4 linked regions of the Arabidopsis thaliana genome follow. The protein of the gene in region 1 purifies or fractionates together with the protein of each later gene. This does not show direct contact. Each region holds a gene or a part of one and is shown in the gene's direction. Other genes may lie near its edges. The genes, in order: AT4G02840, AT3G11500, AT2G18740 and SNRNP-G.

The links.
Region 2: the proteins of AT4G02840 (region 1) and AT3G11500 fractionate together in Arabidopsis thaliana (co-fractionation; one large-scale study listed by BioGRID). This does not show direct contact.
Region 3: the proteins of AT4G02840 (region 1) and AT2G18740 fractionate together in Arabidopsis thaliana (co-fractionation; one large-scale study listed by BioGRID). This does not show direct contact.
Region 4: the proteins of AT4G02840 (region 1) and SNRNP-G fractionate together in Arabidopsis thaliana (co-fractionation; one large-scale study listed by BioGRID). This does not show direct contact.

What each region holds. Positions count from the first base shown.
Region 1 is NC_003075.7:1,261,152-1,269,360, forward strand, and holds AT4G02840 (Small nuclear ribonucleoprotein family protein), read left to right. Parts: upstream 1-3,475; 5' UTR 3,476-3,574; coding exon 3,575-3,588; intron 3,589-3,712; coding exon 3,713-3,789; intron 3,790-3,982; coding exon 3,983-4,012; intron 4,013-4,750; coding exon 4,751-4,942; intron 4,943-5,034; coding exon 5,035-5,102; 3' UTR 5,103-5,308; downstream 5,309-8,209. Other genes in the region: AT4G02830 (uncharacterized protein), read left to right, coding at 1,296-1,391, 1,489-1,578, 1,730-1,886, 2,442-2,531, 2,660-2,781; AT4G02850 (phenazine biosynthesis PhzC/PhzF family protein), read right to left, coding at 5,384-5,491, 5,581-5,664, 5,783-5,944, 6,022-6,351, 6,432-6,629, 7,380-7,418; AT4G02860 (Phenazine biosynthesis PhzC/PhzF protein), read right to left, coding at 7,801-7,908, 7,993-8,076, 8,180-8,209. UniProt on the Arabidopsis thaliana protein: Involved in splicing regulation.
Region 2 is NC_003074.8:3,620,022-3,627,851, reverse strand, and holds AT3G11500 (Small nuclear ribonucleoprotein family protein), read left to right. Parts: upstream 1-5,245; 5' UTR 5,246-5,377; coding exon 5,378-5,412; intron 5,413-5,547; coding exon 5,548-5,570; intron 5,571-5,956; coding exon 5,957-6,078; intron 6,079-6,166; coding exon 6,167-6,226; 3' UTR 6,227-6,247; exon of another isoform or gene 6,248-6,519; intron 6,520-6,727; 3' UTR 6,728-6,890; downstream 6,891-7,830. Other genes in the region: CYCB1;3 (CYCLIN B1;3), read left to right, coding at 713-752, 914-1,284, 1,364-1,465, 1,558-2,144, 2,233-2,377; AT3G11510 (Ribosomal protein S11 family protein), read left to right, coding at 2,986-2,988, 3,285-3,404, 3,492-3,537, 3,635-3,720, 3,803-3,932, 4,028-4,095.
Region 3 is NC_003071.7:8,119,961-8,128,169, forward strand, and holds AT2G18740 (Small nuclear ribonucleoprotein family protein), read left to right. Parts: upstream 1-3,260; 5' UTR 3,261-3,373; coding exon 3,374-3,415; intron 3,416-3,515; coding exon 3,516-3,542; intron 3,543-3,641; coding exon 3,642-3,704; intron 3,705-4,425; coding exon 4,426-4,504; intron 4,505-4,591; coding exon 4,592-4,637; intron 4,638-4,740; coding exon 4,741-4,750; 3' UTR 4,751-5,118; downstream 5,119-8,209. Other genes in the region: DGK3 (diacylglycerol kinase 3), read left to right, coding at 1-47, 131-216, 307-394, 501-576, 664-746, 867-937, 1,043-1,120, 1,208-1,295 and 2 more; AT2G18750 (Calmodulin-binding protein), read left to right, coding at 5,867-5,982, 6,133-6,208, 6,299-6,357, 6,438-6,931, 7,017-7,177, 7,264-7,461, 7,557-7,734, 7,817-8,209.
Region 4 is NC_003071.7:10,179,841-10,187,397, forward strand, and holds SNRNP-G (Putative small nuclear ribonucleoprotein G), read left to right. Parts: upstream 1-2,410; 5' UTR 2,411-2,512; coding exon 2,513-2,547; intron 2,548-2,651; coding exon 2,652-2,674; exon of another isoform or gene 2,675-2,920; coding exon 2,921-3,042; intron 3,043-3,123; coding exon 3,124-3,186; 3' UTR 3,187-3,530; downstream 3,531-7,557. Other genes in the region: AT2G23940 (transmembrane protein (DUF788)), read left to right, coding at 4,359-4,442, 4,541-4,734, 4,847-4,931, 5,014-5,079, 5,165-5,257; AT2G23945 (Eukaryotic aspartyl protease family protein), read right to left, coding at 5,389-6,765; AT2G23950 (Leucine-rich repeat protein kinase family protein), read right to left, coding at 7,364-7,557. UniProt on the Arabidopsis thaliana protein: Probable common Sm protein, is found in U1 and U2 snRNPs and may be part of the spliceosome.

The sequences.
Region 1 (8,209 bases):
TTATGGGATAGTAGACGACTATAATTAATAAATGTTACTTTTTCTTCTGCCCATTTTTATATCATAGTTAGCTAGAGCTTTTAAAATACAAGTTTACACAAAATTAGACTCAATCCTCGAAAAGTTTTGGTTTCTCATTGAAGAAATACGAATTAAAGTGATTGGCTATATATAAAAGAAATACTAGGATGAGACAATCAATAACAAGTAATGCGAAACAAAATTCGCTTATAAATAACAACAAATTGATAAAATGTGGTTTGTTTTGATACTAGTTTTATGTGTTCTCGATAGAATTGATGTATAGCCAAAAAATCACAACAAAATGATAAAAATATTAGTTTGTAGTTTAGGTCAAAGTTATAGTTCTTTTAAGTTTAAGGAACAATTTAAATTAAAGCATTAAACATTTTAAAAAATGTCATTAAAAATATGAGAGAGGCGTTTACTTAATACAACTCAACCCACTCCCCGACATGACCTCCTTAATCTTTCTTAGAAACTCTATATAATATAACAAAACAATATAAAATACTTCTAGTTCTTCTGGAAGTAAATATCCATATATTACCATGGACTTTGATGCATGATTTTTCAGTTTAAAAATGAAAAAAATCAGTCAAATAATGTCAAATTAGCATGTGAATTTTACGTGGTTGTAGAAAATATGTGAGTCGTAGATAACAATAAAAACCTTTCCATAGTAAAAAAATGTATAGTCTAATAGTTTCTATTAATGTTGACGTTACCTCACGGTTACTACACGGTTTATATGAATAATTGCAACAAACAAAAGCTTCTAATAGTAAAACTTTATAGTCTAGTAGTTTTCATTAATATTGGCGTTACCTCACGGTTACCACGCGGTTTATGTGAATAATGGTAAAAAAAAAACACTTTCCAAAGTAGAAAATGATATGATTATTTTTGTTTTGTTTCGAAAATTTGAAATGAAAGGGTGTGTAACTCTCGTTTCATCCTCGTAGTAATGATGAAACCAAATTCAAATAATAAAATCATTGAAACTCTTCTTTGTTGTCAACATAATAATTAGTTTTCTATAAAACCAAATTTGTCGTCATCATCTCTCCTTCTACTTTCCAAACCCATTAATATTTATAGTTAAGATTCAGGTCAGAAGTTGGGGACAATCAAAACCTCTTCTCTTCTTTCTTTTGTCAACAAAGAAACATTTCCATTGAGTCTCTCTCAATGTTCTTCTTCTTCTTCTTCTAAGATTAATTCAAAGTGTTTAATACTTTTGAAATTTTAAGTTTCTTTTTGGTCAGTTTCAAATGGGTGACATCATCGGTCACAAGGATAGGCAAATATGGCCACCCTCTCATCATGTTCTTCAAGATCCATTGTTTGATCATTCCAACAAACATCAGGTTTATATTATCTTATATCTAAATTTTTTCTATTTGAATTTGTTATTTTTTTCTCCTATTCTATATCGAAGTCGTTGTTAATTAAATTCTCACATAGTTGCAGAAATATGTCAAGAACCACCATCACCACGGCAACGGTGAATTTCGTCGGCCCGGGGCACCTCCTCTTAGACAAACATTTCCTTTGGTATTTCTTTTCAATCTTTTTTTTGGTTACAATCTCTTAACGGTATTGGAGGAAATATCATTATGGACATTAACGTATGTATTTAAACATATCTTATATATTTTCAAACTAAAGCTCAAATATTTTGTATATATATTTTTGTGTGTTGAAGAACTATAATACAAGACAAAAGCACCAAAGCAATTGGCAAAGGAGTAAAGGAGAGGATCGTATGCAAGCATTTTTCTTGGTTACACCGGGCCGTACAACTTCTGGCACCGGAGTTTTTCTTCCAGCCACGGCTTCTCATCCACCCACCAAAAAAACAGGTTATTTATTAATTACTCTATACTAAGTATTTATGAACACAAATAAAGGTGCATAATGTTTTCAATTTCATAAAATCAATTCTACCAACTGCATATACTAAAATTCTTTTAGTTTCAGGTTAAAGTTGATTTGACATGATTTTTAACTTACATTTTGTCGTTAAGTCGTTTTTTTTTTTTTGAAAATAATGTTCAAATTATATTCAAAAGAAAAATAACTTTTTTACAACCACTGCTTCTTGAGATTGAAGATTTAGAGCTAGACAAAATTTAGAAGAATTTGAAAATTTTTGATGATTTTTTTTGTCGTTTTTTGTTTTAAACATATATAAACACAAAAACCTCAATTCTTCGATTACTACGAAATATATCATGGATTCATACATCTATTACCATTTTTTTCTATCTATTTCGTAGCTTTTGTAGGACAATTGACATAAAGAAATTGTGATTTGTTGGTTTTTACGTTAGTCAGCCTTTACTATATAGACTCATTAATATATGATTTAATGTTATACAATTTTGATTGATGAAAACAAAATTCTCTTGTCATAGCTTGCTCACCGGTGCTTCTCCCGACTCGTGTAGTTCAAGCACTCAATCTTAACATTCACAACAACGGTATCCATATTTCTCCTCGTCCAGGTTCTTTTCCAACCATTATTTGTTCTCATCGACCGTTATTCAAATACATTGTGTTATATATTACAAATTAGTTTGAACTATAGATATATTTTGGTTGAAATTGGTAACATTGTTTCTTTTGAATGTAGAAATTAGAGAAAATGATTCGAAGAAGAAGAGCGAAATGTTGGCAACAACACCTATCAAGATTGAAGCAGAAAATCCTATTGATTCGCCGGAGAAACTTCTCCCCGAGGAATGGATTTATTGATGACCCAACCATTAGTATGGAAAAGTAGAATCAAATAAAATAAAATGAAAGATTCTTGTGTTGATGTTACAAAAGAAAAGAAAAGATTCTTGTGTTGATAAGAAAAGAAAAGATTCTTGTGTTGTATGCTTCGTCACCATTGGATTAGTAATAAAAATCCAAATAAGAGACTCTGTATATTCCATTCATAATGTAATATCCCCTATTTTCAGTTGAAAAATTTGCATAATTTAGTTGTCACAATTATTAATGGATTTAGGAAAAATTGGATCAACAATACCAAGATGAATGACTGGATTCGAACACCAACGTTACTATTGGGCTAAAAGGCCGAATCAAGAATACTAAAACCTTTTGTTTTTTTACTATTTAGCTAGCTAATGATGAAATTTTTTATCATTGTATTGTTAATTTTGACTAAACAAAAGTTTTAAACAGTTTTTTTTCAAAACTAAACAAAATGTGATTGATAAAAGATAAATTTCTAAAGTGAGTGATTAGATTCCGCAAATCAGATTATTTGAGTTAATTATTCTGTTTCTTTCATTTGGGGTTGTTTTTGTTCAATAAAAAGTTGAGAAGGGTGTTATTGATAAGTTCAAAACAAATAGGGTATAACCAAACATTCAAGGAAGTAAGAGACCGTCGGTGTGAAGCAGAATCCATAATTGGGGACTTAAACATAAATTCCCCTATTGCTGCTTTTCCTCCTCCCGCTCTTGCTTCTTGCCATTGCTGTTTCGAGCTCTCCTCAAAGCCCTAATTTTCTCCTCTTCTTCTTCATTCTCTCACCATGAAGCTCGTCAGGTATGGTTTCTACTCGGATTCTCTTTATTTCTTCGGTTTAATTGGAATTTGCTTCGAAATTTTGAGATTTCTCTTTGTTTTCATGCTCTTCGATGTTTGATTTCGTATCTGGATTTTTTCGCAGGTTTTTGATGAAATTGAACAACGAAACAGTTTCAATCGAGCTTAAGAACGGAACCATTGTTCATGGAACCATTACTGGTACGCTTCTCTTAAAAACCCAGCTCTATTCGCTGTTTAGGGTTTTGTGTAAAATCTACGATGCTTACCTGTAATCGATGGTTACTCGCGTATTCACAAATTCTGATGGTGTAGTTTGAGTTTAGCTAGTGTCTTTCCCCTAATAATGCTTTGTTGGTATTAACCCTAGTGACACTGGTCAAGTCAGATGCAGATGAGTACACTAGATTTTACTTGAATCGAGGTTTATGAGATAGTTTAGTTCTTCTTCAAACTTTGATCACCCATGAGGTAGTTTACTTTCTCCTTTGATGGTTGTAACCAATGGAGCTCTCGAATTTACTAATTCTGATGTGTAATTCTGTTAATAGACCTAGAAATGCATTGTGGGTGTTGAATCTCTCTTGTTTGCAATAAGTGAATGATAATGGTGGTCTAGTCAGATGGAGATGATACATTTTATTTTGCTTTATAGTTGGGTGTATGAGAATGCTTAGTTCTTCTGGGAGTGAGTTTAGCACATGATTATATATGAGATAGTTTACTTTAGTTTCCCTCTTTATCATTGTGGACCTCTCTTGTTAACAAATCCTGAGGCTTAATTCTGTTATTAGTGATAGTATCTGAAGAAGTTAGAGTTTAGCTGAGTCTTAATTATTTTTTTACCTCGAAATGCTTTGTTGGTAACCCTCTTGTTAGCAAGAACTGAGTGATACTTGTCGAGTCAGATGCAGATGATTAGATTTAGCACATGAAAGTCACTCTTATCTCTTTCCTTGTAAAGAAAATCTCTGATTTTTCACAGAACAGTTACCGTGTGGCTTCTTGTTTCAACTTCTCTTTTAGTCTGATTGATCTAATACAAGTGGTCTCTGCTGTTAATGTTTGGTTTGGTTTCCTTTTTCTGCCATCATCTTGTTTAGAATGCAATTATCAATCAACTCACTGACTGGTACTATCTACTTGTGATGACTTAATGCAGGTGTAGATGTTAGCATGAACACTCATTTAAAAGCTGTGAAACTCACTCTGAAAGGGAAGAATCCAGTTACATTAGACCACTTAAGTGTCAGGGGAAACAACATTCGCTATTATATTCTTCCGGACAGTTTGAATCTGGAGACTTTGCTGGTTGAAGACACTCCAAGAATCAAACCCAAAAAGCCAACTGCAGGTAACAAAACATTTCTTTTTTCTGAACTATGCCTTTGTTTTTGTTTTTGTTTTTGCTTAGACTCATCTTTCTATTGTTCTCTTTGGTATCAGGTAAGATTCCAGCAGGTCGGGGACGTGGTCGTGGAAGAGGTCGTGGACGTGGCCGTGGTGGTCGTTAAGCATTTTGCAGTAATCAAAAGTCTGGTCCTTTTTGGTTTGTAACAGCAGGATTGTAAAAGATCTATCTTGTAGTGAGATTTGGTGTCACTAAGACAAATTCTTGTTATCTCTTTAAGTTTTCATGAATTTGAGATTTGAAACGTTATTGCCAAACATACATCACTCAATATGTTTTATTATTGACTTGATCACTTTATTACATAGTCTGATAAAACGTGGGGAGTTCGAGAAATCAAAATCTTGACCTTATTTTTCAAGACTTTGGCAAAGAGTCGAAAGATTAAACTAAGATAGAGCCTTTCATGACAGTCACAGCTTTCCCGGTAAGCAAGACTCTCTGCTTCTCCTTATCATAATGAACCTTGAGTGTTCCACTTCTTTGCGAAGCCTGAAAAGAAATTCGTTGATTCGTTAATATGTGTGATTATTTCTTGCTTCGAAATGTTAGTTAGCTAGTTACAGAGAAAGATGAATTACCGCAAAAGCGACGAAATCACACTTGTTCATCTTGAGGCTCCAGTAATGTGCTAATGAACAATGTGCACTTCCACATACAGAGTCCTGAAGGAACAAAAGCACCAAGCAAATAAGGTAACGGTAAACACTTTTGGTAACGGCTACCACAAGTAAAAAGCAGAGAATTGCTCCCATGCACGAAGTTGCAGGTTAGTTTCTTAACCTCATTGAGCCCTAGTTTAGGAGCAAAGAGTCGACTGCAGAAGTCAAAAGGAGATCCTTGAGGAGCAGCAGCGGTAACAATCATCACTTTGCCAGGGCATTTCACGATATCATCCACTCTTGGCTGAAATTCAATGACAGATTCCCAAGATGAAAGCACAACCTGTAATCAAATCATATAAATAAGCAAAAAATAGAAAGTTCACAAGTTTTCTTTCTAAGGAAATCTGAAATACATACGATGATTTGGTCTGTTGAAGTTGTTTTGAAAGCTCCTATCAAGGGTTTAAAGATGAGTCTATCAGTTTTAGTTTCTCGAACATCGACAATGGTAGCTCCATTCAAGGCTTTAGAGAAGATGGAGACATCCTTGGAGCTGTACTCACAAGTTGTAATCACAGGGAAATTCATTTCGATCAAGAAAGATCTTTTAGAGTCACAATCAGACAGCCTTTTAGCGGTTAGAATCCCCGAGTTGGTGGAAAATTCGACAGTGTCAGATGAACCAACCAAACTGTTTGAGAAGATACTATGAGCTGATGCTAGTGTTGCATGACCACATATATCCATCTACAAAATCAAATAAATCGAACATTGTACAAAATGGAACGGAGGGAGTAATAAAATACAAAAATGTTTGCAAGATGGACCTCGGCTACAGCCGTGAACCACCTCAGAAGGAAACGTGGTGGTTCGGAGCCGGGGATGGGAATAAGAAAACACGTCAATGGAAGGTCAAACTCAGAGGCCATAGACTGAAGCCACACGTCGTCTCTCTCATGATCCTCTTCAAGAAAACACACTGCAGCTTGGTTCCCCTTGAAGGCTGACTCAGTGAATGCATCAACCTGTGTTTAGCAATACTCGTTCATAAAGAAGAAGAAGATCACATTATCAGAGCAAAAACAAAGAAAAGAATATACAATTACCACGAAGTACTTGACAGGAAAATTCATATCCATTGACGTTTTTGGTTCTATTTTTGCCATTGATGTTTTCGTTAGACCAAAGCTAAACTTTTATACCATTTTGGAGGCTTTTAATTTACAATGCCACTTCATCTTTTAAGAGAAACAGACAATCTTTGTAGGGCAAAATCTTATTGAAACAAATCTCGGCTTTTAATCTTTTTTGTTTTGTTTATATGCTAACAGTTGAATTGTACTCAAATCATTATGAAATCTGCAGCTTTGCAAAATTTTATATTCAGCAAAGGACAGATCTAATCAAGTGGAAGCAAGCACTCATAAAGCAAAAACGCACTTATTGACAAAACAAATATGGTATGTTTATTCCATTATTCTTATGCTAAGCATGTGATGAATTGTGTTGCATAGCTTACTAGTCGTTAAAAATCAAACAAAAATTGGTTAGTCAAAAAGGAACACTCAAACAATAATAACTGATTGATAGTACATGGGAAGATTTGGTAGGTATTCTTAAAATCTCCAAAAAAGGACAGGTAACACTTTGGGAAGCTTACAAGGATAATAACATTTCTAAAAGAAGTACTCAGAGCAAAGTAGAAAGGAAGGAAGTTATACTAGTACATTGCGAGAAACAAAAACCAAAGAAGACGAAGAAGAATATACAATTACCATGAAGTACTTCACAGGTTTCTTCACGAGCATGGCCATAGCTCCTCTTCTTCCTATTGAAATCTACTTATCTGGAAACAATGTGCTCCACGTTCTATTTAATAATGATAGAGTCTCCAGACCAAAAACAAACATTTATTGATAGTAAAATCTGGGAAGATTTGGTAGGGAACTTTGGAAATCCATCAACAATAAATGTATTGTCTGTGAGTGAAAGAGAACTGTTGGAGAGTCATTCAAAATGAACACACATGGTCAGAAAACATGGACATATCCTATCAGTGGCTCCTACGAGCGACCACACCTCATGTAAGGTGGATCAGTCAGCTGACACTATTTTGTTTTGAAAAGAGTAAATTCATTGTTATTCATTATAGGAGCTTGTTTTGTAGCAGAATTCAACACAGTATATAATTTCAGATCAGACCAAGACATGGCCTTCCATCACAGTAACGGCTTTGCCTCTCAGGAGAACCCTCTGCTTCTCCTTGTCTAGATGAATCCTTATCGTTCCACTCCTACTCGAAGCCTAAGCAACATTTCCAAAAACTCAAAATCATTCACTAGGAAGCACTAAACGCTACTTTAAATTTAAAGAGATAAGAGAGATTACTTGGTAGGCTAAGAAATCAAACTTATTCATCTTGATGCTCCAGTAATGTGCCAATGCACAATGTGCACTTCCACAAACAGGGTCCTGAAAAAGGCGACACATTTCAGGCAGAAGAAATCATATTCTTTGGTGTTTTGTTCAATCCTAAGAGCAAAGACTATAATGTAAGTTGCAGCTACTCTTTTACCTCATCAACTCCGAACTTAGGAGCAAAGTA
Region 2 (7,830 bases), on another chromosome or scaffold:
TTATCTGTTTGGAGTTTGCGTTGATATATGATGTTTATCCCTTTTGTAATGATGTGACTTGCAAATTGCTATGTAACCTCAAGATTAAGCATAGAGTTATTTATTTCGAAGTTTACTAAATTGCATTAAGTAATTTTGTGGCCTTGTGATTTAATTAAGAGACCCATGTTCATTGGATAAAAAGCACTATCTTACAACAATGGTATATTAATAAAGTGAGAATGCTACCTTTCTTGTAAGGTGGTTCATATAAAATATAAATTCAAACAAAAAACGAACGACCAATCTTTAATCGTTTACATGAACTGTGGTGTGCTAATAAGGTGATAACAATATTTAAACGTTGCTTTGACTCCCTTAAAAAAGAAAAGAAAACCAATTATAGGAAGAAATCAAACTCCAAACTTGTCACTAATGGGAAGAAATAAACCAGTAATTAAAACTCGGACCTTGTCATTAAGTGTGTGAAAGGCGTGAATCTTCACAATCCTATAAGACAAAACCTCCTTATCCACCGTTAGATTTAAAGTTCATCATCCAACGGCTAGAAGTCTAATCCCGCTAATAATTTGACCGTTGCGATTATGCTTTTAATGGCTCCTCCTCTCTTCTCTATCCCTTAAGCGCTCTCTCTCAAATCTCAATCATCCTTCTTCTCATCTAGAAACCCCTTATCTTGGAGTAATCAGAGAGTTTGAAAACACCAGAAATCATGGCGACAGGACCAGTTGTTCATCCTCAACCAGTTAGAGGTTTGTTTCTCCCCTCTGATGAATCTTTGTTTTAACTCTAGGATCTGCATAAAAACTCTCATCTATGAATCCTTTTATTTAGATGTTATCAAAGATTGCTTACAAATCTGTTTTCCAAGGATCCAAATCTTGATAGGTTGCTTTTTGTTAAAATTTATCAGGTGATCCCATCGACCTCAAAAACGCAGCAGCAAAGAATCGTCGTGCTCTTGGCGACATTGGAAACGTCGATTCTCTTATTGGAGTCGAAGGAGGAAAGCTTAACCGCCCCATTACTCGTAACTTTCGTGCTCAGTTGCTAGAAAACGCACAAGTTGCAGCCGCCGCTAACAAAAAGGCTCCGATTCTTGATGGAGTTACTAAGAAACAAGAAGTTGTAAGAGCGGTTCAAAAGAAAGCAAGAGGTGATAAGCGTGAGCCGTCAAAACCAATCGAAGTGATTGTGATAAGTCCTGATACAAACGAGGTTGCTAAAGCTAAAGAGAACAAGAAGAAAGTGACATACTCTTCGGTTCTTGATGCTCGAAGCAAGGTAGATTCTTTGTTCAACATTGAAAGCATAATGTGCAAAGTTCTGATTATTTGGTTTTGTGATTGGTGTACACACTTAGGCTGCTTCTAAGACTTTGGATATTGATTATGTCGACAAAGAAAATGATCTTGCTGCTGTGGAATACGTTGAGGATATGTACATTTTCTACAAAGAAGTTGTGGTACACTTACAGTGAAACCTTCTTTTGTTTATGCTTATGGATAAGTTATGTGAATGTCTTCTTTAAGTTTGTTGTTTTGTTCTTTGTTGCAGAATGAGAGCAAACCTCAGATGTATATGCATACACAACCTGAGATTGATGAGAAGATGAGATCAATCCTTATTGATTGGCTTGTAGAAGTTCATGTCAAGTTTGATCTCTCCCCTGAGACTCTTTACCTCACTGTCAACATAATTGATCGTTTTCTTTCTCTGAAGACTGTGCCTAGAAGAGAACTACAGCTTGTAGGTGTTAGTGCTTTGCTTATAGCTTCGAAGTACGAAGAAATCTGGCCTCCTCAGGTCAATGATTTGGTATATGTGACTGATAACTCCTACAACAGCAGACAGATTCTAGTGATGGAGAAAACCATTTTGGGGAATCTTGAATGGTACTTGACAGTTCCAACACAGTATGTGTTCCTTGTGAGGTTTATTAAAGCCTCGGGTTCTGACCAGAAACTGGAGAACTTGGTTCACTTTCTAGCTGAGTTGGGTTTGATGCATCACGACAGTTTAATGTTCTGTCCTTCCATGCTTGCTGCATCAGCGGTCTACACAGCAAGGTGTTGCTTGAACAAGACTCCTACTTGGACTGATACACTGAAATTCCACACAGGCTACTCCGAATCTCAGCTCATGTTAGTCTTCTTAATTCTTTACACTAGCAAGTTTGTGATCATATTGTTTGTATATTAATTCTCTATGTGCGTTTCTGTGTGTAATCAGGGATTGCTCAAAGCTTTTAGCTTTCATTCACTCGAAAGCGGGGGAGAGCAAGCTACGTGGTGTGTTGAAGAAGTATTCGAAACTTGGAAGAGGTGCTGTTGCTCTGATTTCACCAGCCAAGTCTCTTATGTCATCTGCTCCATGAACAAGGCTTGAAAGATGGCTCTCTTGCAAACTCTGCATTTTAGATTCTCTATCTTTTATCGTTTTATATGTAAAGGTATTGGTTCTTGTTGAGAAATGATGTTTCCGTATGAATTCAAAAGTATTATAATGAAATTCTTCTTCTCTTCTATAATCAGAATCGTTTTGGTCCTTTTTCCCATCATATTCTTTAACTATGGAGTCAAATTCAAATTACATAGTTATCTGTTATAACTTGAAAACTTCTTTGTTCTTCATAAGACCAAGTACGATGGTACGATCAAGGTGAAGTTGTTCACATTTGTCAAATAATAATTTCCAATAAGAAATCTGGTGAATTTTGTTACTTGTCAAAAAAAAATCAAGAAAATTAACAAGACTAATAGTAATAATCGAACGACGACGTAATGTTTAAGAAAAAAAAACACCAAACGACGACGTAATGGGTAATGAAAGTGATGAGGGTATTTACGTCAATTCATAGAGGTACTCCGATGTAACCCTAATATATAACGTGCATTTGTAGCGCCGTGAGTGTCCTTCTTGTTTACACTGAGCAGAATCTAAAAACACTTATCGTTTCGTCTCTTCTCTGATCCATTGTTGAAGATGGTAAGCTCTTTCTCTCCAACATTTTTCTGTGCCAGATCATTTGGTTTTCGTTAGTCTGTTAGGAAATTGAGATCTGCGATTTCACTTAGTCCTGCTAGTTTCCGATGTTCCATACTTATACGTTTGTTTCAGCTATGCAAAATTGACTTATTGATCTTGGCTTGTCTGATTCATAGTTTAGGGGTTGTCTGATTAATCTCCATGTATTGATATTGAGCTGATGGTATGTAATTATGGTTAAATACCAGTGAACAATTTGTTTCTCAAATGTGTTTTGTTCTCTCTGTATATAATAGTCGAAGAGAAAAACTAAGGAGCCAAAGGTTGAGACTGTGACTCTTGGACCTTCTGTTCGTGAAGGAGAGCAAGTTTTTGGTGTTGTTCACATCTTTGCATCTTTCAATGACACTTTCATTGTAAGTTTTTTCTCATTTATTCTTAGCGTTTGTGTAATATAACCTTCTGTGTAATGCGTTTATGACATTGCTTTCAATATTTTGCAGCATGTGACTGATCTCTCCGGTAGAGAAACTCTCGTCCGCATCACCGGTATGTTTCCTAGTAGTGAATTTTATTACCTGTGTTTATGTTAGTGTAAAATTCATTTATATTTCGAGAAATATAATGATTATGTGACCTTTTGCAGGTGGCATGAAGGTGAAGGCTGACCGTGATGAGTCCTCTCCTTATGCTGCTATGCTTGCAGCTCAAGATGTTGCTCAAAGATGCAAGGTCTGAAATGATTCGATGTCCATGCCTTTTTTTAATTGACTTTGAGGTTCTGGATGATAATCTATAATGGTTTATGTGACAGGAGCTTGGCATCACTGCCATGCACGTGAAGCTCCGTGCTACTGGAGGAAACAAAACCAAGACTCCAGGTCCTGGTGCTCAGTCTGCTCTTAGAGCCCTTGCTCGTTCTGGCATGAAGATTGGTCGTATTGGTAAACACACAAACTTAGTCTCACTCAAGTTGTTTTGTTTTGTTTTGTTATGATTGCTCATTGGAAGCTGAATCTTTCTTGAATGCATTTTGCAGAGGATGTGACTCCGATTCCCACAGACAGTACACGCCGAAAGGGTGGACGAAGAGGAAGAAGACTCTGATTGCACGATGAGGCTCATCATCGTTGCAATGTGCTCTTGAGACTGTGGGTATTTTCTTGGGTACACTTCGAAGTTAGTTTTGTCTCTCTCCAATTTATCTTTCCAGTTGCTTTGAGAACATTATAAGCTGTGTTTTTTTGTATTTGGAGTTTTTGGTATTGAGAAAAAAAATGTTAAGTTACTGATCGCGTCGTGTTACTGTTAGTTGGCTTATTGATATTTTACATTTTCTCTCTTTTTAACTTTGGCGAATGGATACTTTATCGAGATATTTAATGCTATGGTTGCTCATCAGAATCAGATTAGAAAGTCCGATGCAAGTTTTAGTATGTCGTGCTGGTTCCGAAATCAAACCAAGCCAGATCGTTGTTAACTTGTCATAATCTGTTTTTGAGGCCCAATTATTCAACCAAAAAAGTCAATTTTAAGAATGAAAAGAGTTGATTTGTGGCATGTGGTGAATGCAATTAACAACTATACGAGAGATTGTATGATAAAGACATCAAATATCCCAAGTCCGGCTTTTGGAATTCTTGATTAGAATGTTATCGCTTAGATTGTGTTGAATGGCATCTCTTGCAAGAAAAAGAAAACAGATTAGCAGATTATGATCATATATTTCTTATTAGCCCTGAGCTGTTAGTGCATTATAAGCATCAGACCCCACTTATAGCCTCTTGCAATGACTTAAAACTCATCATATCCTCATTTCTTGATGCTCTTGGTTGTTATCGAAGACATAAACAACATGGATGTTTAAAGAATGCTCTTTTATGTTCTTTAGTCTCTATGAGGAGCCATATCACAGGCAATATTTCCTAGTAAGGAGAAAGGTTTGGTAATTAATTGATGCAGTGGGTATCTTTCTTTTAGTTTTATGGCTTTTGACTACATGTAATTCAGATAATTTTGGATGGGTAATCACAATTCAAGATAAATTGTTATAAATAATTTAGTAATATAAATGACTAAATATCTCTAATTAGTAACACCGGGTGTTTGGTCTAGTGGTATGATTCTCGCTTCGGGTGCGAGAGGTCCCGAGTTCGATTCTCGGAACACCCCTACTTTTATGTTTTGAAACATGTGAAAGGCTTTTTTTGCGGTCAAACCCATTAACAATGGGCTTGAAACGACGGTGCTTCGACCACTCTAGTTTTGCAGACCGACGTCATTTTTTTTCTTTCTCTTTCGCTCTGGAGACTGGAATCAATCGAGTAAAGTGTTCGTAGCTGAGAAAAACCCTAAGCTCTCGTTTTTCGTCTTCTCCGATTCTGCAAGTATGAGTCGATCAGGTCAGCCTCCAGATCTCAAGAAGTAAGTTCTCTTCGCCACTTTTTTCCTTTTGATTTCTAATTTCTCTGTATCCATTTAGTTGAAGTTTTTGGTTTCATAGAGCTCCTACTTCTTCGTGTTTCTGATTTTGTTCTTCGTTTGTTTCATGTAATGCAGGTACATGGACAAGAAACTCCAAAGTAAGCTCGATCTCTTCTTCCACTTTTTCAATTTTAAAGCGTCTTTAAGTCGAACCTAAATCTCTTACTCAGATGAGAATTGCTTGCAACCCGATTTCTCAACTTAAGAGCTATATTAATGCCATTTCAGTTCATGTATTACTTGGGATTGCGTGTTTTTGTGTACTAATTAAACTTGTGTTTACAATTCCAATATATAGATTCAATGCTAATCTTGGTTAAGAATATATCAATGTCACATAAAGTTAAGAGTTGTATGGATTCTTAGGTTTTGTATCTCGTTCATTTAGAATTTTACTAGACTTTGTTTGTTATCATGTTTTTGTAACTTGGTATGGTCAAGTGAAGTTCTTGTCTGCTTTTTTTTGTTGTTACCCCCAATGTAGTTAAGCTTAATGCCAACAGAATGGTTGTTGGAACTCTCCGTGGCTTTGATCAGTTCATGAATCTTGTTGTGGATAACACTGTTGAAGTCAATGGTGATGACAAAACTGACATTGGGATGGTGGTACGTTTCTCTCCATCTCTCTAACTCACCCACAGAATCTTCTTGTCATTTGTTTTGTTTAAACATTCTACTTTTTTCCTGGATGCAGGTGATAAGAGGAAACAGCATTGTTACTGTTGAAGCTCTCGAACCAGTTGGAAGATCTTAGCTTATGACTTTTCACCCCCAAGTAATCATCTTCTGTAATATGAGACTTTGACTTACTTTGCTCTCTGTACCGGCATGAATCAATCTTGATTTTATTTGATGAATTCCTCTTCTTTGGCTCCTCTACTTATGTCATTTTACCCTTGTTCGGTCCTGTTTGTTCCCTATAGATTTTTCTGAACCCTTGATTTGATGGATACAAGGAAATTTGGATACTTACTGTCCTTGTGTTATAATCTCTTATCATATGTGTTAGTCAGGTATAAGTTATATAATCATTTCAAGTTAGAGAAATCAATGTAGTAATGAAAAAGCTAATTTTGAATGGTCCAAACCTTAGAGAAAGCAAAATACTTTTGTTGTGGGGATCTGAATTTTGGGTAAATGAGCTCCAACGGTTGTTTTTCTTTTGCTTTATTAGTATTTTAAACCCTTTTTTAGCCCTCTTTTTATCAAAGTGAGATCATAATCATGCCGTTTGGCTCCTCTGTTACTATTAAAGATGTTGTTATATGAATAAGAAGAAGCTAAAAGAAAGAAAAGGAGAAATAAGAGAAGTGAAAGTGGAAGGAATCAAGGAAGCATGTGCCCCACGAAGTATTGTGTGTGAGGCAAAATGAATGAAATCGGTACAATATCTATCAATCTCCAATGAAACAGCAACAACAACAACATGTAACCACAACGGAATGTTCGGCACGTGGGTCGTCGTCGGCACACACGTGGGGTGGGCTTTGTTCCAACTTACATTCATATCAAGTATTATCAACCACAAAACTATGAGTTGAAATGCCTTTTTTGGTAGAAAAGTAGGTATTTGTGTTTTGTCTATAAATTCTAAATTATTTTCTGTCCAAGTCATTATACAATTTGATGTGTTTTTTAACATTTCGTGGTCGGGGATCTCCAACTAATATAACAAGTAAACGAATTTTAAACACATGGATTTACAACTAATCCAAAAAGAACTTTCACCAACTTCACTTTCTCTTTTATTCTTTTCTCTTTGGTTTTTGGGGAAGAGAATAGAAAGAGTACGAGAGATTGCTTCTTTCTAAATTCTAACGGTAAACAAATATTACATAAAAATGTTAACCATCTTCGTATATTATTCTCATGGACCATTTGCAAGTAACTAAAAGATTCACTTTAGATGCAAGCTGTTCAATGAACTTCACCATCCTTTTTTTTATTTCTTTCAAATTTGATTTTACAATATCAATCTCATTTTTGTTTGTCACAATATCAAAATCTCACATCTTAGCGTGGATTACAATTTGTGTTTAACTATTCCATCATCATTAAATTTAATGACCAAAAGCCATAGAAATTGTGTTATTATGGATCATTGGTTGTTATTAGGTTTACCAAGTACATGAGACTAGTCTCATTGTAGATAATCTTTTACTATTTTTTTTTCTCAACTGATTATTATGGATTTATGCTAGATTTCTTCTTCTTCTTTTTTGTGTGTGGTACATTCATCCGGCAGAGAAATGATACTATAAAAGTTAATTAATACTCCAAATTTGAGATATCTTGTAAGATTTGATATACACATAGAAACAAAAAGTTATTACATAATACAAAATTTGCAAGGTTTCT
Region 3 (8,209 bases), on another chromosome or scaffold:
TTATTCCTCTCGGTACAGGGAATGATCTTTCAAGGAGTTTTGGTTGGGTGAGTTGTGTTTTCTTTGTTCTCTCTTATGTTGTCGTGACAAAACTTTTGAATTGGTACTGACTATGGTATCTCTTCTTCAGGGTGGTTCGTTTCCTTTTGCGTGGAGATCTGCTGTTAAAAGAACACTCCATCGCGCAAGTATGGGTCCAGTTGCTAGACTTGACAGGTAAAAGTCTTATTTTGCTCAAAACATTTAGCTTTTATTGTATTTCTCTTGTTGTAAAAATGTATGCGCTTTGGTTATGTGGTGTTGCAGCTGGAAGATTTTAGTGTCAATGCCATCTGGAGAAGTCGTAGATCCTCCTTATTCTTTAAAACCCGCTGAAGAAAACGAACTTGATCAGGTTTTGCTCTATTTCATTAGGCTTGCTTCTTCTCATTGAATCATCAGCATGTGATTTTGTAAATTGCCACGGTTTAGTAATTAACCAGGCTTTATGGTGGTTTCAGGGTTTGGACGCGGGAATTGATGCGCCTCCACTTGCAAAGGCTTATGAAGGTGTTTTCTACAATTACTTAAGCATAGGTTTGTTGAACTTCTCTTTTTGATATCCTAAACAATTTTCACAATTGTTTTTCTGACCAGATTCTTGTGTTTGTCTGGTTTGTTTAGGTATGGATGCTCAAGTTGCATATGGCTTCCACCATCTTCGCAACACTAAACCATATCTTGCTCAAGGCCCTATTTCAAATAAGGTTTGTTTATTATATTTGCACCTAAACTTTGGACTCATTATTTGTCTTTGTTAAAAGCTAAAGTAGTTATGTTGGTTTTGAGAAACGACATTACCAACCACACAATGTTTGCTTTTGCAGATTATATATTCAAGTTTTGGTTGCAGTCAGGGTTGGTTTTGCACGCCTTGTGTCAACGATCCAGGTTTAAGGTTCGCCATTTCGACTCTTATTGTGTAGTTGAACTTGTGTGTAAGTCTCTGCTTAAGCCCTTTGTTGTGTTGTTGACCCCTTGTTTGTGCTATATGAATTTGCAGGGGACTTAGGAACATAATGAAAATTCACATCAAAAAGGTTAACTGCTCTCAGTGGGAAGAGATCGCAGTCCCGAAAAAGTAAAAAACAGTTTTCGATATATGATTTATGTATTACAATCTTTGATATCAATGCTTAAAACCTGATGCTATGGATTTCTCTTGTAGTGTGAGATCAATTGTCGCATTGAATCTTCACAGCTATGGAAGTGGAAGCCATCCTTGGGGCAATCTAAAACCGGACTATCTAGAGAAGGTATTGTTTCTGTTCCATTTCATCATATATGAACTCAGTTCTCTGATGTTAACCCGAATGTTTTCTTTGGTTTTTCTCAGAGAGGCTTTGTGGAAGCACATTGTGATGATGGTTTGATAGAGATTTTCGGTTTTAAGCAAGGATGGCACGCGTCATTTGTCATGGCTGAGCTCATCTCTGCCAAGCACATAGCTCAGGTAACTTCAAAAGACACTGGTCAATGTATAATCTTTTTAGCCATGTGTTTGACTGTTTCATTTTGGTGATCATTTCAGGCTGCTGCGGTAAGATTTGAGCTAAGAGGAGGTGACTGGAGAGACGCATTCTTGCAAATGGATGGTGAGCCATGGAAGCAACCAATGAGCACTGAGTACTCAACATTTGTGGAGATCAAGAAGGTTCCTTATCAATCTCTGATGATAAATAATGAATGATTGAGATTCAAAGCTGGATTCTTTGTACAAAGCTAATTGTTTTGTATTTGGATTTGATTCAGTTAGTCATAGATATAGCCTAAGCTTTTTAGTCTTCTTTTCTTTTAAATCTGAGATTGTGACCATTTTTCTCTTTTTAATTTCTGCTTATTGTTGGTTTTGTACATTTTTGTGTTGTGAGGAATGAAGTTTGTTTATTTATAAGAATGTGGGAAGATAATATTTGGTCAAATTTCAATCTCTCTTCAATCTTTGTAATTCTAGCATTGAGCACATAGATGTGATTCTTTGTCATATTTTTATTTATTTTAACACTAGTTCGACTGAGAACCAATTTATCATCGACACCAATTTCTAAGTAAGAATATTTTTAATAATTATCATTATTAGTCGTATATTTTTACCAGAATAATAAAAAATTAAAAACCTAAGTTAATAAACCACACAAAAAAGTTTTTCTCTCTTCGCTCTCTCGTAGTTTGTAAAGATAGAAACTGAAATTTCTTTTGTTTTTGTTAACCGGATAGTTTTCCGGTGAGTCGCCGTCCCGTTTAATTCGGGCTTTCGTCCGACATCTTCTAGCTACGTTAGTGGAGATGGTTGGCTTTTTGTATGGCATCGTTGGCTAACTTAGCGACGTTGGCCAGCTTCCGTACGGCAGCGTTGGGCTTACACTAACAGCGTTGGTCATCTTTGTTTTTGTTTTGTTACTTCAAAGGTTTGATGATGAAGCTTTATGGCATGCAGAATCGTCAGATCTGAAGAGGGTTTCTCTTTACAAGATCTATTCTCCTTCTGTTTTGTTTAGCTTCACTATTGGGTTATGCTTTTGGCTCTGGTAGTTTTTCGGCGATGTGTGCGTTTCCAGCAATTACCCTCGTTTGGATCTACCATATTTAAGACAGTTTCAATTTTATTTTCGCCTAAGATTGGGTTAAAGCTTCTATCCTATGCAAATTTGATATGCCTTTAGTGCTTTTGCAAGAGAGTTCGAAGATTCAATGGTTGGACAAGTTTGAACTACTCAATTTTTTTAATTTCTTTACCCGTTTTGATGAATTATTTGTGATTCTAGCAACCATATGAGATTAGGAAATTGATGTTTGTTCTATAACATCTAATTGCCATAATCGGTGATAGAAAAAAAGAGTTTCATTGCTCGGTGCTTTCCCGGCGATGGTTCTCCGATTCACCAGACTTGAGTCTCATCCGGTGGAGGTTGTGGAAGATTCACGTGTCCTTAGCTTATTATTATTGGTCTGACACGTCTTAAGCTTATCTCTTTTTTGTGACGTAAAAGTCTGTTGTGGACCTCATATGTAGACTGTCTTGAGCCTTTTATGTTGTAACACTGAGCCTCAGTATATTAAAAATAAATCTTTCTCTGAAAAAAAAAAAAAAAAAGTTAAAAACCTACGCTAAAAAATTCTAGGTCTTGGAAAAGAGTATTTGGGCCAAATGATCACATTAATTAGTTATGGGCTGAAATAACATTCTGAAGTTTTATGAGGACCGAGAGAACTAAGTTTAAGAAAAATGTTGAAAAAAGCGTATTAGCAGAGGGACAAACGCTTTTTAGGGTTTTAGATTTCCTCTGAGAGAGAATTTTCGAAAGCTTGAGAGAGATTTCCAACTACGTTAGCCATGGCGAGCACCAAAGTTCAAAGGATTATGACCCAACCTATCGTACGTTTCTTCTTCGATTCCTTTGTTCCATCTCTTTATTGTTTCTATCGAAACCTAATTTTGTATCTTGCTTTTTGTTTTCCGGTGGCGGCGGCTCCAGAACTTGATTTTTAGGTTTCTTCAAAGTGTAAGTTGTTCAATTTCTTCTGATTTGCTCTCTGAGGTTTTAGGTTATTAGTAGTTCGTCTACTGATTTGTTCCCTGGTCTTTTGTGTTTGTGATGCAGAAAGCTAGGATCCAGATTTGGCTATTTGAGCAGAAAGATTTGAGGATTGAAGGAAGAATCACTGTAAGTTGATGTTGAAGCTCCGTTATCATGAATTGATTAGATTCCTGGCTTTGTTTATAGGACATTCGAGGGTTATGCTAACTTTAGGAGAGTTTGAAATGCATTAGCAGTGTGACTATCTCTCTAATTTAGTCTGTGTTTGAACTGTTGCATTTGTTGTGAATTGAAAAGGGATAGTTGTCACTGTTACTACTACTGCACAAAGAACTGATAAGAGCCTGCCAATAGAAACTAGTTTGATTAGCTAGCTGTTCTTAGGTTGAGTATGATTGTGTCATTCTCTTCGGCTTAAAACTTATTGTCTCCTACAGCCTACTTGGCTTTGGGTGTTACTTGTTTCAGTTTGTTGCTATGCTTGTAGTTGTATGTCCTCTATGATTTTCGAGTTATGATTCAAGCATTCAAGCTTTTCTTAGTTTGATTCTATGATAATTTGGAGAAACTTGAGATTTTGTGATGGTGTCATTCTCATTGGCTTAAAGGTTTGAGTTGTCTACTTGACTTTTGTTGTTCCATGTTGCAGTCTACTTGACTTTTGTTGTTCCTCGAGTTAAGATCCTAGCTTTTCTGAGGTTGATTATATGTATGGAGGAACATGATATTTGTGATAGTGTCACTCTACTCGGTTTTAAACTTAGATTTTTGTCTACTTGAATTTGGGTGTATTATTGATTCTTCTAGGAGAATCCATCAAACCTTGCTTATCCGTCGTCCTTTGCAGGGTTTTGACGAATACATGAATCTAGTTTTGGATGAGGCTGAAGAAGTGAGCATCAAGAAGAACACCAGGAAACCACTTGGTGAGTTATCCTGAACTCACTCTTTGATAACAAGTCTCAGATCTGTCTGCTTATGGTTTGATAACTCGTGTTAATACCTATTTTCAGGAAGGATTTTACTCAAAGGAGACAACATAACTCTGATGATGAACACGTAAGTAACACAATCTCTACTCTGTCTTCTCTCTTTATGATGTATAGCAGCTTGATTTGTCACATAACAAAAGATTGAAACAAAATCCTTTCTATGTTAACAGGGGAAAGTGATGTCTGTCTCAAACAACTCTCTTCGATGACCTTCAAGCTTATGTTAAATATCTGTTGAGTTCTTCCTCAGCTTAATTGGTACTTGACGATACCTTCTTTTCTTCAATGTCGTATAATATATTGCAATGTAGTGAGTGACAAAGGAGCTTGATCGAATCTAGTGGATTGGTTGGTTAAAACTTCAAAAAAGAGATTTGGTCCCTTTTGGTTAAATCTAGTGTTATGTAATTTGGCTGATCTTTGTTGCAACTTTTTAACCTCTGTTTAAATTTCAAACCTTAAAAAAGTAAAACCAATTGATTTTGATTATAAAAAAAATTGTATCATTTTTGTTTGTTTGGTGAACTGACCGAGTTGGCCATTCTCAGGGCTCAAGTAGATTGAAAGTTTAATTATACTAATAGACCAATCAGAATATAATCTGTTAAAGTTAACATAAAAATACAGAAATCTATGTGAACATTAACTTTTCATTGCAATTAGATGTTTTTATATCCATGTTGATTGTTGAATCTTATCCCTAATCTTGCTATTGGTGAAATGAATGTATTTTTACTATTAAAGTCTTTTTTTAATAACAAATAATTGGACTTTATACAACAAAGTATTATTATTTAATTATCAACTTTAGAATATAGCATGTGCCAAAAATACATACACTAGCCGCCGGCCCAAGAATGTCGTCCAATAAACGAAAAGCAAAAGTGACGGCAATCCAAGCCTACTGTGATCTTGTCCGCACCCGATAACTATCTTTAATTACTAAAACTAGTCAAAGTACTCGACTAATCACAAAACTAGACAAGTGTTTCAAGTAAATTAATTTTTGATCTTTTCATTTTATCTCTCTCTCTTTTTCTTCTATCCAAAACACCATTTTTGAGGTATTTTTCTCTCTCCTTCGAATCGAATTTTCAGGTTTCTCTTTCCGTTTGTTTGAAGAAGCTTTTAAGTAGAATTCATAAAATCTTGCTTAGCTTCTGGGTTTGATTTGTTTGTGGTAAAGTTTTGATTTTTTTTTTAGTTTGAGAGCTGGATTTGTGATTCTTTCTCTGGGTTGGTGAAGTTTTTTACTTGCTTCGATCTTATAGATCAGAGCTTCTAGCAGCGTAAAAAATGCAGACGAGGTATATGGAGAGGACTAATAGTATGAGAGAGAAGAGAAAATTGGAGGAAGATGATAATCAGCAGCAGCAGCAACAGCCTGAGCGTAAAAGGCCAGCTCTTGCAAGGTAATTTGTGTTGATGCTTGTAATTTTTCTGATTATTGATTATGGCGTTGTTGAATCTGTAATTGATTTGTAGTTGTATGAATGAAAAAAGGGTTGTTATGTATATTGATTGTCTGTGGATTTGAGAAAGTTGTGTATGTGTTATTGCAGTGTAATTGTGGAAGCCTTGAAGATGGATAGTTTACAGAGGCTTTGTTCTTCTTTGGAACCGATTCTTCGCCGAGTGGTTAGCTTAATAAGAATTGTTTACATGTCTTTTGGTGCTTTGTGTTGTTTCTTTGGCTTACTGATTTGTTTTGTGAGCATTGTCAAACAGGTAAGTGAAGAGGTGGAGCGGGCATTGGCAAAGCTTGGCCCTGCAAGACTTAGTGAAAGGTAACATATGACTGTTTTAAAAAGAGATAAAATTAATGGTTGGAGTATTTGTGGTTTTCTTCTAATGCTTGAGTTCACAGGTCGTCTCCAAAACGAATTGAAGGTATCGGTGGAAGGAATTTGCAGCTACAATTCAGGTCTAGATTGTCTGTTCCTTTGTTTACTGGAGGGAAGATAGAAGGGGAGCAAGGTGCTGCAATCCATGTTGTACTGTTGGATATGACAACTGGACATGTTTTGACAGTAGGACCTGAAGCTTCTGCAAAGCTTGATGTTGTTGTGCTTGATGGTGATTTTAACACTGAAGATGATGATGGTTGGAGTGGAGAAGAGTTTGAGGGTCATTTGGTGAAAGAACGTCAAGGGAAGAGGCCTCTCTTGACTGGTGATGTGCAGGTCACGTTGAAAGAAGGTGTGGGAACATTAGGGGAACTTATCTTTACGGACAACTCAAGTTGGATTAGATGCAGAAAATTCAGGCTGGGTTTAAGGGTCTCTTCGGGTTACTGTGAGGGAATGCGTGTACGCGAGGCAAAAACAGAAGCTTTTACCGTGAAGGACCATCGTGGAGAGTGTAAGTTCTTGCTTTCCTTTGATATTAGTCATTGATGTATCTGAATCTTTGTTTTTCTTTTGCCTAATGTTTTTTTTTCCTACAGTGTACAAGAAACATTACCCACCTGCTTTGGATGATGAGGTCTGGAGGTTGGAAAAGATTGGAAAGGACGGGGCTTTCCATAAGAAACTCAATAAAGCAGGAATCTACAATGTTAAAGAATTCCTGCGTCTTATGGTCAAAGACTCTCAGAAACTAAGGACTGTGAGTGCACGATTTAACTATCCAGTATCTTACCAAGATGTTCAAATATTATTATTCATCATGATGACTCTTACTCTGATTTTCAGATTCTTGGAAGTGGCATGTCAAACAGGATGTGGGAGACACTTGCAGAGCATTCCAAGACATGTGTATTGAGTGAAATGCTTTACGTCTACTATCCCGAGGACTCAGTTGGTGTTGTTTTCAACAATATATACGAGTTTAGTGGTCTTATATCAGGAAAGCAGTATTATCCTGCTGATTCTCTTTCTGACAATCAAAAGGTATGTTTGTTGGGTCTTCTTGCTTCTTATAGATACAGATTTGATTCTTCTATCATATACTCGGAAAATAGTAAAAGGTTATATATATGATGCAGGGTTACGTCGATGGACTGGTGAGGAAAGCCTATGAAAACTGGGAACAGGTTATTGAGTATGACAGCAAGTCACTTATGAACTTCAATCAAGTTAGCAAAACAGATGATATTGATTACTCTATGCCAGTTTCAGTTCCAAGCCAACCATCTACATCTTATTCAGACGTAACTGTTGAAGGTAGAGGTTCAGTCCACAAATGTCGAATCTTTTTAAGTTTTGGTGTGAACCGAATTTAACAGTCATTCATTGGGTTTTTCAGCATACAACCAGAGTCCGGCTTCAAGTTTCCCGGGTCAATCTCAGCTAGCTGATACTACATACATGCACTTTGGAAACTCTTCATTTGCACCGCAAGACCAGCTAGTTAACAACACTCATGAATCACAAAGCATGATCAATAGCAACGGTGGTGTGAGATTGGCACTGGGTCCAGCAACAGGATCTCAAAACCAAGAACAACTTGTTCATCCTCCTCCTGAGATTAACTCTTACAATGATTGGTCAAATACATGCAACAGAGGAGTTGATGGGTTTTTATCAGAGGAAGAGATTAGGGCTAGAAGTAACGAAATGCTCGAGAACGACGATATGCAGCAACTGTTGAGACTGTTTAGCATGAATGGTGGTGACCAGCAAACTCCATTGAACATGG
Region 4 (7,557 bases), on another chromosome or scaffold:
TTTTATAGTAAGAGTTGTTTGTTTACTTATTTTTTTAATTATTGTACTCTCAATTCAGTATTTTATATATCTATATTTTATTTTATTTTGAAATGAAAGGAAAATATGTGTTACTCATAGAAAAGTGAGTATTTTTTTTTTGGTTTTAATGTGAGAAAAGTGAGTATTTATTACTTGTATGTCATTATTTATGGAATATATGATGAGGCTAGGTAGCAACAAATAATAAGAAAATGAGAAAAGCATTATACAGTTTTGTACTAAACTACACATTTGCAAGCTAAGAAGGAAATAAATTTTGACATGTGCTTGATGTAATTTATGAGTTGTCAACTTTAAAGTATATAGCTAACTGTTGATGAATGATTTATCATTAACATTTTTAAAAAAAATTAGATACAATTTGAAACGTGTAATAAATGATGAGCATATATCCATACATTTTGTTTGTAATGGGTTTCTGATTTATCCACACTTCAGTTTCTGCAAGCTGTGATGTTAGACATGATAAAATCACACAAACAATTCAGAGACATACAAAATCAGGATTGTGAAGCAGGATTTAAAGTATATAGCTTAGTTTTTTTTGTATTTTTTTTTAACAGCAAAATCAATATTCACGTTTTAGACATCAGAAAATGAAGCAGGATTTGCAAGTTTGAGAGTTAAAAGTCAGTCATTAACAAAATCAAAATCTCAAATGCATCCACGATTTATTAATACAACATAAATAATGCAATACGATCCAAAAGAAACTACAAAAATAAAATTTAAGGTTCGGTCTTCTCAAAAAAGATCAAGGTTTTGTCTTCTTGGTATGTCCATCATGAAGTTTCTTCTATGGGACGTTCTTTAAATTTGCATGATATAGATCAAGATGGGTTGTTGCCATATGCGAGGATGATGTTGAATTGCCTCTGCTGGACCAACGTTTCAAGGACACTAAAATTTTAATGTCTTTGGCAGGACCGGCTATAAAATTTTGGGGTCAAAACTCAAACAAAATAATTTAAGATTATTAAAAAAAAAAGTGGAGCCAATTATCGTAAAATAAAAGTATTATTAACAGTATATTGAAATTTTAAAGTCTTGAACCACACTTTTGATCATATGAGATAATATGTTTTGGTGGTGTTTTAAGAGCAAAACTAAAGGAGATGGGAAACTCGATATTTGGTCGATGTGGGATGAGTGTAGACAACTTCAAGGCTGTGAAGATCCCAACACCGGCTCTTACTCCATTTCTTTTCAAAACTAGTCGATACATTCTCATACACAACTTATTATTAATAGGTTTCAGTGTTTTACATCAACCAATTTTATATTAATCGTTTATTTATATTTATTTTGTTGTCGATGAATCGGTATTAGAAATTGAGAGCTTGTGGCATGGTATATCTGTACATTCAAGTATTACAGTGGAGAAATTTTTATTTTGGACTGATATATTGTTGTTATCCCGAGCTAAATTTGTAAATAGGAAACACAAATTGAAACTTATAAAGTAAATCGCGAGAAAAATCAATTGATTATTAGAGAAATACTAAACAATCTGAAATGCAAATCGTTCGCTCAAAGTAAGCTCACGATTACACAACGATCAACATAGACTGCTATTGCTACATCACCAGAGTATTTCTTTGTCTCTCTCTCAACAATCTAGAAAAGCATAAAGCTTATGAGATGTAAAGGTAGAAAAATTTAGAGAAATATTTATCATTTTTCAATTAAAAATATAATAAGAGAAAAATGATAATGCATTATGTTTAAATAATATATATATATAAAGAAAAAAATTTAACCTTGTGAAATTTATAATTTTGTTAGTCTAAATATAGTATATGTAGATAAAATATAAAATTAGTGAGTATAATAGATGTGTCACCACTTACCACTTATTACCTAAATTAAATTCATTATAATGCATATTGGTGGCAGAAAAATTGTATATGTAATGCTGAAAAACAAAATGGTATATGTAATATCATTCGATAGAAACAATTCGAACAATTGGCCGCATTAGAACTACAATGACATAAAAATGTCTTCGTCATTTTAATTTTTTTCTTATCATTTTTGATGTTGTGGTGAAATTTTAGTGTAACTTTTAAAATTTATCGATTGGTGAAATCAAAAATATTTGATCAATTGGTTAGACGCTAAATATTTGATCAATTGGTTAGACCACAACAAAAATATTTAATTAATTGGTTAGACGATTGTAAGATATTACATCAGATTAATAGCGTCTAGAGAATACACTTCGACGAAAAAGGAAAATCACTTAAAAAAAAAAAAAAAAATACACTTCGACGAAACATGTCAATAGTCATATGAGTTGGGCCTTATAGTTTATTGGGCCTGAGTAGATTATTGGGCTTAAAGGAGTAGTAAAAAACAAGAAGACGCTAACACTAGACTTCCAAAAATCAAAACTTTAGGGTTTCAGAGCAAACTCTGTCTTCTTCAAGCCGAGAGCGAAAACCCTAAGCTCAATTCCGATTTTGCAACTATGAGTCGTTCAGGTCAGCCTCCGGATCTTAAGAAGTAAGCCCTTGTTCTTATTTCTCTCTTTCTGTTTCTATATCTTCGTGTTTCTGATTTAATTTTTGTGCTTAATCTGTTGTTTGTTTTTGTTTCGTTCGATGCAGGTACATGGATAAGAAGCTCCAAAGTAAGTTCAATATCTTCATCTTCTTTTATCGATAGTTAGGGAACTTCAGTTTTGTATAACACATTAGCTGAGATGTGATTGCAACTTTATTCTGTGAATCGAACTGGATTTGGTATTACTGATTTTAGTTATAGTGTCTAGAATCGAACTCAAAGTAGTTTTTTTTTGGTGATTGTGTTTTGATTTTAGCAAAGAGTGGATTTTTTCTTGATGTGTTGAGATTGATGAATTGTATTTGAAATGCAGTCAAGCTTAATGCTAACCGAATGGTTACTGGAACTCTTCGTGGGTTTGATCAGTTCATGAATCTTGTTGTGGATAACACTGTTGAGGTGAACGGTAACGACAAAACCGACATCGGGATGGTGGTAAGTCTCTCGATTCTGTGTCCCTTTGTCGTTAATCTTCTGCTGCTCTTGACTGATGTTTTACTTTGGTTTTGGGAGCAGGTGATTAGAGGAAACAGCATTGTCACTGTTGAAGCTCTTGAACCAGTGGGCAGATCTTCTTAGCTCGTTATATTCATTGGTTATGATCTTTTTGTACTAAGCACTAGCTATGAGAAATCTTGGTGGTAGATTCGCAGTTACGATGAATTGATTCTGTAAGAAGTCTACATGAATACTCTTTTCTTGTACTAAAAAGATTGCAATGAACCCCCACCGATGAATGTGATGGCTTGTACTTTTCACTCTTGATACAATGCTCAAACCTCTATTAGTCATCTTCTTAGCTTGGTTTATGCATCCATAGTCATCTTTGTTTTGGTACTAAGCATTAGTTCTGAGGAAACTTGATGGTAGATTTGCAGTTATTATAAATTGATCAAGAAGTCCACATCAATATTCTTGTGCTTTTACTCTGGATCCACTGCTTTGATCTTATATCTTCATCCCTTCTGTTAATGCTTAGTTGCTCTTTTTCTCTTTTTGTAATGAATGAGACTTTAAAGAAGACAAAAAATGCAGACAATGTAAAATGCAAAGAACATAAACAAGTCTTACATGTTGAGTTCATTGCCGAGAGGCTCCCATTTATCATGAGCGATTAGGACGACATCGATTTCAACCATGTTGACACAAAGTTTACTGAACTTGAAACAGAATGTGTATCAAAACTTGAAAATGTGATTGTGTCACTGTCAAGCACATAACCTAAATTTTACGATCTTTCCCAAAGCGCCAAAAGTAAAGCGGACAAGCGAATTCTACGAAACCAACAAGCCGCCACTGTGAGTGTCTCTCTCTCGCTCCCTCTCCCTCCCTCTCCCTGAAAGATTATCATGCTTCTTGTGGTGAAGCTGATGGCTTTTCCTTGATTTCAGTACATTGCAAGTCTTAGTCAGGCACTGGCCTATTGTCATGGAAAATGTGTGATTCACGGAGACATCAAACTTAATAATTTGTGATCATGAGGTATATATGGTTAAAGTGTTTTTGCATTGAGAATTCGGGATATTCATTATTTGCAGCTTCTTGTTAAGGATCCCTCAAAACAACTTTCCGTGGATTGTCAAGAACGCAGATCCGAAAGCTCAATTGGGCCTATTTACAGGCTTAGGCCCATATACTACTAGATTCATCGGAAGCGAAACAGTGAGCGTCGTTGTCTTTTTCAATAACCTCTGCTTCGCCGGAAAAACAAACAGACGACGACTATTGAGAGCTAAAATCCGAGATTAAGAATGGCGAATCAAGGAGCGAAGAAACGAAAGGAAGAGAACGCCAAACACATGGCTAAGCTCCGTCGTATCATCATCGCTTCCAATGTATTTTCTCCTCTCCCATCTATACGTTTCCCAGATTTCTACGATTTTTCGCGATTCTTCATGAATTGAGAATTGGATTTTGTAATTTATGGTCACAGGCTGTGTATTTCGTTGTGAGGATGTTGATTTTCTACTCAAGCTTTACTTGGAAACATTGGATCGGTTTAGTGATAACTTCGCTGGCTTACGCGTTTCCTTATAAGCAGCTTGATCAAATGGCTAAACCTAGTGTTACTGATGATGGTGAGCTTATTGATGGTGGATTTGACATGACCACTGGTGGAATCTGCGGGTACGTTTGTGTTAAATGAATCAACAAGAACCAAAAGCTAGCTTCTGTGTTATGGATTTGCATACTATGATGTTTGAGTTATGCATTTTGAATCATATGATGACCTTTGCAGATATTTGCACGATGTCATCTATATCACTTGCTTTGTTCAGCTAGCTTCCATCATCACTGGGAAGTTTTGGTACACGTATCTTGTGGTATGCGTGTTTGCTTAGTTAATAAACACAAATTGATACATAGAATTGGATTGAAATGATGTAACTTTTGTTTGGTTTTTAGATTCCTGCGTTTGGAGTGTATAAAGCTTCTGGTCTTATTCGAGGATTCATGTCACAAGGTTCAGAGGTAAATCTCATTTAGTTTTAAGTAGTATTAGCTTCTTTACACAATGCAAAAAGCTTTACTCTGTCTCTGTGGCGTTGAACTGTAGGGAGGTGTGGAAGATGAAAAGTCTCGTAAAAAGAGAGAGAAGATGGAGAGGAAAGCTTCGAGAGGGCAAGTCGTCAAGACGAGAACAAGATGAATGTGTTGTTATAGAATACAACATGAATTTGGGGATGAGTATGTTCTTCAAAATATACAAATGTGTTCAAAAGGTAAACTCTCTAAGCTTTCTGAGTCTCTTTTACATGGACATGTCTGCGTGTACAATATTTACTTTGATGGGGAATAGTCATCGAGTTGAACACAGTCGATTCTCTGGAGATAGATGTTTTTTTCTTTGAGGTCGTAACCAATATTATAGTATTGTTGAGCCATTAGCCCTATAGCTGTGAATTCCTTATATTCCCCTCCATGTTCTTTGGTTGGCTTCACTGACATACAAAAGACGTTAAACGTATTCGGTTCTGATAATGGATAAAACATGCTTGTGGCCTCCATAGCCAGCTCAGCTCCGCCTGCAAAATGAAATGTCACCACAGGGAAGCCTATGAGCTCTTCGCTCACTCTCCCATGGTAGCACAAGAAGTCTCTAAACCAGAATCTCTCTAATTTTGGATCCAGAATGGATTTTATTTCATTGTAGAGTTCTCTGTAGGCTATATCTGCTAGCCAAGTGTAGAGTGTGCCCGAGTCTAGTATGACCCCTGTTCTTGGTCCTCTTCTTTTGAATACCACTGGTTCGATATTGAGTTGTGTATCCCCAACACTAATCCCTTCTAGATTCATATAGTAGATACTATTCTCTGTCTCAAATTCAATGGGTGTTGGATCGCCGAGAATATCCGCGTCCTCTCCCAGAACCAGCTGATTGTAACCGTAGTTTTTGTTAGCTAAATCACCAATGCAGTAAGAGAATTTAGACCCAAGCTGTACGGCAAGTGATGTGGGTTTGGCTCCTAACCCCAAAATACCAGTGAAATGACTTTCCAACTGCTCTCCATTCTCGTAGCCACACCCAAAAGCAATAGGTTGGGTCACAACAGTGTTACCGTTAGGTGTTGTGAAGGTTAACCGTTCTTTAGCTAGAACGCCTTTTGACCCAGTGCCGCTTATATACACTTGTTCGTAAACACACTTGTTTGATGAGCCGCAATGTCCGTTTGGTGCATACCTGCAAAAACGATCATCGCAGGAACACTCTACAAATGTTGAAGACAATGCTGGATTGAAGACAGGATGGATCATATGATCTGATGAGCAGTGTTTGCAGGGTTGACATTGGATCCATAAAAGTGAGCTTCCAGTATCCATGATAGTTAACTGCGGCACCGGTGGCTGTCCTACGGAGAAATTCACAAGAAACAATGATGTTTTGATTGCTTGTTCCACATCAACTTGGAAATTGCTGCTGCCTAGCTCTTTGTCAATCGAATTCTGTAGATACTTAAACCGGGCTGATGAAATATCTGTCAGGTGTTTGATATGGTCTTCTGGAGTGATCGGAACTCGAGCATTTGGGTTGAGACGGGCCACTGATTCACGGTGTATCAGCTTCATCGCCATTCGGTTAGGTTTAATGGATTCTGTTACTACAAAGTATGATACAGTGATGAAGAGTAAGAGTGAAGTTTGGAAAGAACATTCCATTGTTGTTGAAACGGTACAGAAACATGGACTTGGGGGATTACAGAGACCATTTTGTAACCTCAAATAAAGATTAAGTTAGGGTAATAGCATCAAGACTGTGATATGAAGAAGAATATAAAAGATCAAAACACAACGAATTGATGACAACAAATAATATCCAAAAACAACCAAAGATCATGAGACTATAAATAGCAAAAGTTTGTTGGGGTTATGTATATAAAAGCTATCATGTACTTTACATCTTTTGTTGTTTTGTGTTATGTTTTTTAGAAAAATAAATTGAACAAAAACAATTAGAAGTACAGGTCAACATATCATTAAGTTGTTGGTCGGTAAATTTTTTGATAATAAGACATGAATCTCAGAGTTTGACCAAAAATTGCTTTCACAGGACCTCAAATTTTACAAATTTGGATAACAGACCAAAACCAACACATTTAAAAAAACCTTAATATATACATCCAAAATATTAACCATTAGACCCAGAATCTCAATTTTTTCAAAGGTTTGATAACCATTTACATGTCTATATCATCTCAAAAACAAAAATTGAAGTCATGGGGATATTATATCTGTTTCTTTCTGTGTCCAAGATTTACTACCTTGGACCAGATAGTTCCATGGCGAATGAATCTAACGCTTGATTATCATCTTCATCTTCAAATCCTGAGGAGCCAAACAGATGTTTGGTTTGGTTGTTGCCATCAGTAGAGGTAATAGTCCTGTAAGACATGTTGGCATGGTAGAAATGTGAATGGTCATGTGAAGCAGCCCATCTCTCAGCTAATCCAT